Stegostoma tigrinum: one gene and its partner. The protein of the gene in region 1 interacts with the protein of each later gene in a pairwise test. Links are inferred from orthologs where the notes say so. Each region holds a gene or a part of one and is shown on either strand. Other genes may lie near its edges. The genes, in order: garem and grap2a.

Evidence for each region.
Region 2: the proteins of garem (region 1) and grap2a interact in binary tests that used the Homo sapiens proteins (3 or more experiments, as listed by UniProt). The link is inferred for Stegostoma tigrinum from reciprocal best matches to the Homo sapiens genes GAREM1 and GRAP2.

What each region holds. Positions count from the first base shown.
Region 1 is NC_081358.1:74,804,000-74,807,921, forward strand, and holds the start of garem (GRB2-associated and regulator of MAPK protein 1), read left to right. Parts: upstream 1-812; 5' UTR 813-1,107; coding exon 1,108-1,216; intron 1,217-3,922.
Region 2 is NC_081391.1:24,717,591-24,721,512, forward strand, and holds the start of grap2a (GRB2-related adapter protein 2a), read right to left. Parts: upstream 2,278-3,922; 5' UTR 2,116-2,277; intron 2,055-2,115; exon of another isoform or gene 1,933-2,054; 5' UTR 1,889-1,932; coding exon 1,811-1,888; intron 1-1,810. UniProt on the Homo sapiens protein: Interacts with SLP-76 to regulate NF-AT activation. Binds to tyrosine-phosphorylated shc.

The DNA of each region.
Region 1 (3,922 bases):
ATATAAAATATAGATATGCTAAAATTTCCCACACAATAATTTGAGAAATGGCCGTTCATTTTCAAATTGACCCAACATTTCAATAAATGGAAAAATAATTATATATAGATAAATAGAGTGATCTACAGCTAACAAGAAATAGCCACATTTCCAAAAGTTGCAGTGTTGAGTGTAATGACCAGTAGCGAGGTGAGCTCTCACTTAATTCTGTGCAGAATTGAACCATCATTAGTTAAACAGTGGAACTATTTATTTCTTTTCAAATTGCACCTTAAGTCTGGGTCAATCAGAACAAGTCTGATTGTTTGCCGTACAAATAAAAGCTGACTCACTGACTCCACCCTTGATGTGGAGAGACGACTTAAATCCTGCTGGAATGAAATTAGAACATTTGAAAAAGAATCACTAACATCCGCAATTATGGAAATTAATTTAGCCATCCACTTAACAGCACATCTGGGGCTATTCAGAAAGCACATACGGCAAGAATAAACAGCAAATTAAAACTATTACTTATAACCTAGATTTTGATTAGACGCAACAACTATTAAAATCGACGTAAAGGAATTTGGGAAAAACAGACCAGAAAACCAAGACAAGAAGAAATTGATAAATAATGACCTCTCTACCAAATTACAAACGTAGAAATCCTCGCATTCAACATAACATTATCAATTAAAAATCTTTTAGCTGAGAAGGAATGGGGTGGGGTTGAACCGGGCGGAATGGGGAGGTGGTATTGGGTGACGGGCTGTAGTTTGGAGCGTTGCGGTAGGAAGGGGACTTGCAGACGAAGGGGGCGGTTTGTGTGGTGAGGGGCTGGTTCGGGGCTGGTGGAGAGCCTCGGGGGAGGGGCCCCGCTTGGGAGCGGAGCCGGGATGGGCCGCTGTCGCTGCTGTGTCCTGTCGTTTGGTGCGAGTGGCAGGTCGGCCGCTTCCCGGAGTGAAGCGTGTGACTCCTGGTAATGGCGCTGCGGGAGCCCGGCGGCAAGCCCAGCTCGACAGCAGTGCAAGCGGCCGCAGCCCAACCCCCGGGAAAACCTGCGGCTGAGCGCCACCCGCCTCCGCCCCCGCCCCCGGCCGGGATCGAGCACCGGGGCCGGGCGCCATGGAGACACTGAGCGGCACCAAGGAGATTGAGTGGAGCGGCGTGTCGAGGCCGCTGGACCTGCTGGTCAGCACCTACCGGTTACCGCAGCTCGTCAGGCTGGAGAGCGGTGAGGAAGCTCAGCGTCCGGGCCGGGGTCTGGGTAAAGGGGAAGGCTGAGTCCCCAGCCGAGGTCAGGGGCCGGTTGGATCAGTCCCTGAGGCCACGGTCTCGAAACGTCAAGCACAGTCATTAAAACTTATATCAAATATCTGCAAAAAGATCGGGAATGGGATTTGTGTAGATCTTCTCAGCGCTCGTTGCGCAGTTTTCAAATGGCCAGTATTGAGAATAATAAATAGAAGCAGCAATTTCAAAGTCTATTTACGTGAAAGTTGGATCGATATCTAAACTTTTATATTTGTTCGAATTTGTGTCTGGAAACATCGTACTGTAGTTGTAAAGGTTGATACACGATAGGGAGGATTTGAGCTGATTTAGTTTAGAAGGCAGCGTATTTACGTGTTTCGTTTTAAAATTCTGTGTAGAGACATAATTTATCTTTTAGTAGGCTTTGTGGTCAGCTGTGTGTTCCTGGAAGTCATGAGAAAGTTTTGTAGAATGTTGTCAAACTACGGTCATATATACAAATACTTTAAAAGTTGTAAATTTTGTAGCCGCAGTTGGTCTGCCGAATGGCCTGAGCAAGATATAACCCGCAGGATATTTGGTAACTGAACCAAATACTAGTTTTCTAATAAATCAGTGTACTGCAGTCCAAAGGTGAAAGACAGTGTGCCGGAAGTAGACGTTGTTTCCGTATTCTGTAGATTTTTTTTTGCTCTCTGCCGTATTGTTTGTGGATGATATACAATATTATAACACGTCCCACCTAACTCTGCAGTTCTAAAGTGAATTTGGTTATAAAGGAATCCTCTTGAATAAACAGTGTGATAGTTGATAGGGCTTTATCCCTTGAGTCAATCCAAGTTCAGGAAATTTGAAGATTGGAGTAGTAAGGCGTTTCTCTATGTCTCTTAATTGAGAGTAAAATCAGTGTATTATGTAGGAAACAATTATCTTGTCAAGTGCTGTTACTGTGCTAGAATCAACGAACATCAAAATTATATTAGCCATTAACATGTTTTAGTGTTAAATTTATTATTTATTTTTATTTATTCCATCTTTGACTCTGAGAGTGAATGATTTTCTGTTCCACTTGAGCCAAAAGTCTAAAATTCTAAAGAAGGGTTAAAAATACTCAAAACTAAAACTCAATCCTAACTTGTGACTAAAATCTGAGAAACAATGACAGTGATGTAAATACATTTTGATAGTTTTGCATTTGATATTCTTAGCAAGTAGAAACAATAGAGTATTGTGGATGATATAGATGTGAAATAGAGTTCTGGAGAAATTTAAGTTGAACAGCATCTGTGGAGAGAGTTGAACAGACAATATTATTTCTGACATTATAGTTATCTTAAATATGCGATACTGTATTAATGTGTTAAAGTTCCTAGAATCGCATAATAGCAATGGAAGTTCACTTATTCGGTTTGTATTAGTTAGTGGCCTAAGTAAGGTATGCAGATAATAAATCTCACAGGCTTGGAGTTATACGTGACTGTGTAAGTGGAATGGATTAGTTTAGAATGGCATCGTGTTCTGAAGGACAAAGTGGGCTGAATGCCTGCTCTTGTGTTTTATTGGATTTGAAATTCTTCTCAGATGCTGCCAGGTCTGCTGAGTTTCTCCAGCACTTTGTTTGTTAACTAGATATCTCAATTCAGCCTTAAATATGAAACACAATCCCCAACTCCTTGTCATATTTTTAGAATACTTTTCATTGCAAAAAGGATTATGGATAATTTACCCCAGAAGTGAACTAGTTGCTTTTGATGACTCTTGTTTCAGCAAGATGAGCTGGAAAAGCGTATAAGTATTCTTGTAAACCAAAGGTTATTAAAAAAAATCGAGAAATGTAATTCAAGTAGCTCAACTTGCTGAAAGCTTTTCTTGGTGCAAAAACAATGAGGGCATTTGTACTAGAATTTCTATGCAGCCTTTTTAAGGCCTAATGGATTTTTAAAAACATTTTTTGACAAATGTATTTTCAAAAAGTGTAGCAACCAGCTCACTATCTGCAAAAAGATTGATCTCTGATTTGAAGCCAAAAATTAATAAGCCGGGCAGCATAAAACTAGAATAATTAATGATTTTAGGTATACGTATGTTTTGTAATCAATTTAAACTTATTTTGAATAGTTTATATAGGGGGATGTTTTTATATTTTGGCAGTCCATTCAGAATGTTTTTAGAACCGAATCAGTGATTTCTGTGAATCTTGTGGGTGTTTCTCTAAATGTTATAGTTTGCATCCGAGTCCAGTTTTTGATCTGGAAAAGTATTGTCTTGGTTGTTTCTGACACCAGCTCTGTAGTTTTATATAGACTAATACAAAGTATTGTTGATGAACTGACTTGATTTTGTGGGACATTCATCTTTTCCAATTCTATAAAAATGAATAGATAAATGTGTAACTGTACAGGAGTAATAGTTACATGAGATTTAGAATTATTGTTGGAGTGATGAGCTCAAGATCTGGGGATTGCAGATTTGGAATAATGATCAAGACTGCAGTATTGTCATTATACAGATGTCAATATTGTGTAGTATTATTAAATATAGTTTGATGTTTGACGGAGTCTTGAGTATTGATACGATAAAGTATAGAGGAAAGTGTATTTTCAAAAGAAAAATAGTTTTCAAGTACTTGTTTTTTTTTGCTTGAGCCAGGACCCAAAAGGAGGATGATTTCTCTAAATAGAAATAA
Region 2 (3,922 bases), on another chromosome or scaffold:
AAATAACATCCCACCCAGACCTACTCCCCCACCCTACCCCCATAACCGTGCAAGTACTGTGGCTGACCCACCTAAGCTGCACAGCCACGGGGAAACTTACCCCGGCCAATCCACCCTAACCTCTGCATCTTTGGAGCCCCAGTGTTCTATCTCATGCACCGTAGCAGCCTTTCTGAAGTATCCACTTCTTCCTGAGTGGCACCAGAGATTTTGAATCATGTTGTGCATCAAACAACCTTCCCACCCAGTCCATCACCTCCACCACCACCTACCCCACCCCCCCCCAACCATCTCTCTCAAAAAGACCCACGTTTATGGGGTGTACAAGCACAACAGTGAGAAATGAGAAATTTTTACCATCAAAACCTCCCAACACTCCACCTCCACAGTGTCCTCTCTAACCCTGGGGTGGGGGCCGCTCCCAGATCCTCAAATCGTACCCCAGTTAATGGAAACAGCAGGGGGTGATGGCAGAGGATGGGGAGACAACATACACAAATAGGCGACGGGTCTTTCAGATTAAAGATCCCCAACTCAAAAACCTGCTCACGTTTTCATTTTGATGCCTTTCCACGAACGTAAGAATAGGTGGCGGGTAGGGAATGACTGGGATTATCCAGGTGACAGAAAACACCAATCCTAGGTTCTCCTCAGGTTTTTCACTGTGAGTGCATGGCCTGGTTTGAGAAGTTTGCTTATTTTCGTTTTGGCCAACTCTGCGACCGCAGGCAGGATGTCAGAGAAGTCAGCTCCACTGACAAAGTCAAAAATTCATCTCCACCTGAAGGATAACACAGTGAGGGAGCTGGAGGAACACGGTGAGGAAGCTGGAGGAACACAGTGAGGAAGCTGGAGGAACACGGTGAGGAAGCTGGAGGAACATGGCGAGGAAGCTGGAGGAACACAGTGAGGGAGCTGGAGGAACACAGTGAGGGAGCTGGAGGAACACGGTGAGGAAGCTGGAGGAACACAGTGAGGAAGCTGGAGGAACACGGTGAGGAAGCTGGAGGAACACGGTGAGGAAGCTGGAGGAACACAGTGAGGGAGCTGGAGGAACACTGTGAGGAAGCTGGAGGAACACGGTGAGGGAGCTGGAGGAACATGGTGAGGGAGCTGGAGGAACACGGTGAGGAAGCTGGAGGAACACGGTGAGGGAGCTGGAGGAACACGGTGAGGGAGCTGGAGGAACACAGTGAGGAAGCTGGAGGAACACGGTGAGGAAGCTGGAGGAACACAGTGAGGGAGCTGGAGGAACACGGTGTGGAAGCTGGAGGAACACAGTGAGGAAGCTTGAGGAACACGGTGTGGAAGCTGGAGGAACACAGTGAGGAAGCTGGAGGAACACGGTGAGGAAGCTGGAGGAACACGGTGAGGAAGCTGGAGGAACACAGTGATGAACCTGAAGAACACGGTGTGGGAGCTGGAGGAACACGGTGAGGAAGCTGGAGGAACACAGTGAGGAAGCTGGAGGAACACGGTGTGGAAGCTGGAGGAACACGGTGAGGTAGCTGGAGGAACACGGTGAGGGAGCTGGAGGAACACAGTGAGGAAGCTGGAGGAACACGGTGAGGGAGCTGGAGGAACACGGTGTGGAAGCTGGAGGAACACGGTGAGGAAGCTGGAGGAACACAGTGAGGAAGCTGGAGGAACACGGTGAGGAAGCTGGAGGAACACGGTGAGGGAGCTGGAGGAACACGGCGAGGAAGCTGGAGGAACACGACTGCTGCCTGGCCTGCTGTGTCCCTCCGGCTCCCCCACGCTGTGCTATCTCTAACGCCAGCATCTGTAGGTCTTACGATCTCTGAGTTACCTTAAGGATGTCGTCTTTCTTGAAGCTCAGCTCATCCTCTCCAGCTCCGTTGAACTCGTACTTGGCCACAGCTTCCATCCCCCCTGACTGGAGTCCCACTGGTCAGAGATGGACTGCAAAACCTTCAAGTGAGAAAACAGCAAGGAATCTCCTTTGGTTGAGCTGTTCTGGGAGTAGTGTGTGTCTGTGTGTACACTGCAGGAGATGATGGTTGGAGCGGGGCGGTGGGTTGGGAGGGAAGTGATAGAGCTGGGGGAGGAGACAGGGTGGGAGGGGGAGGGGGGAGTTGCAGAAGCATGAGTTACCTTTTCTCAACGACGTTCAAACTCTGGTTGGTGGAAGGTCCCGAATTTTCGTTGTTGTAAAAGCTGCCTTAATAAATTGGCAGGTAGAGAGAGATGTTTCTAGCGCAGCGCGACACCCCTCTCGTCTGCTGTTCGTCAGACTGTCGTTCAAATAAAATCGAAGCCAATTTCTTCTTGCGCTCCGGGAAAACCACAACCTAGAATTCTGCAAGGCGGGGTGGGGGGGGGCGGGGTGTTGTGTGTGTGTGGGACTGGGGGGTGTTGTGTGTGTGTGGGACTGGGGGGTGTTGTGTGCGTGTGGGACTGGGGGGTGTTGTGTGTGTGTGGGACGGGGGGGTGTTGTGTGTGTGTGGGACTGGGGGGTGTTGTGTGCGTGTGGGACGGGGGGGTGTTGTGTGCGTGTGGGACTGGGGGGTGTTGTGTGCGTGTGGGACGGGGGGGTGTTGTGTGCGTGTGGGACTGGGGGGTGTTGTGTGCGTGTGGGACGGGGGGGTGTTGTGTGCGTGTGGGACTGGGGGGTGTTGTGTGCGTGTGGGACGGGGGGGTGTTGTGTGTGTGTGGGACGGGGGGGTGTTGTGTGCGTGTGGGACGGGGGGGTGTTGTGTGCGTGTGGGACTGGGGGGTGTTGTGTGTGTGTGGGACGGGGGGGTGTTGTGTGCGTGTGGGACTGGGGGGTGTTGTGTGCGTGTGGGACTGGGGGGTGTTGTGTGTGTGTGGGACGGGGGGGTGTTGTGTGCGTGTGGGACGGGGGGGTGTTGTGTGCGTGTGGGACGGGGGGGTGTTGTGTGCGTGTGGGACTGGGGGGTGTTGTGGGGCTGGGGCGGGTGTTGTGTGTGTGTGGGACTGGGGGGTGTTGTGGGGCTGGGGCGGGTGTTGTGTGTGTGTGGGACTGGGGGGTGTTGTGTGTGTGTGGGACTGGGGGGTGTTGTGTGTGTGGGGCTGGGGCGGGTGTTGTGTGTGTGTGGGACTCGGGGGGGTGCTGTGTGTGGGGCTGGGGGGGTGTTGTGTGTGTGTGGAACTGGGGGGGTGTTGTGTGTGTGGGACTGGGGGGCTGTTGTGTGTGTGTGGGACTGGGGGGCTGTTGTGTGTGTGGGACTGGGGGGCTGTTGTGTGTGTGTGGGACTGGGGGGCTGTTGTGTGTGTGGGACTGGGGGGCTGTTGTGTGTGTGTGGGACTGGGGGGCTGTTGTGTGTGTGGGGCTGGGGGATGTTGTGTGTGTGGGCCGGAGGGGGGGGGACTCGAACAGCTTCTCTCCCTGCCGACACTCTCACACTAAAATGTTTCAAAGCAGGACTCACACAGGACTGGCCTGCACTGGGTCAAAACGGGGACTCTCCCCTTTGTCAACATGTGGAATTCCAGCCCCACTGTCAGAATCTGCTGCTCGGAAATCGGCTTCTTTTTCGATGGCAGGTTTTTTTGGTGCATTCAAAGTCCTGAGCGCAGCTGAGCTGCTTCCTGTGGCGCTGAGCATTGATGTGAGTTTCACATGTAAAGGAGGGCTGCGGGCAAAAATTGCACCGAAGAAAATTCATTTCAATTGCAAACTAATCGGTTCACTCAGACAAATATCACACTTTGGAGGGGAGTGTTTGCAGCAGAACTGGGACTGAAAGCTTTCAATTAAATGCTCCATATCTTTCTGGGTCAGTAATGTCCTTTAGGGAAGGAAACTGCCACCCTTACCCGGTCTGGCCTACTTGTGACTCCAGACCCACAGCAACGTGGTTGAATCTTAACTGCCCCCTGGACAATTAGGGATGGGTAACAAGTGCATATTTTGCCAGCAACACCTCTATCTCATGAA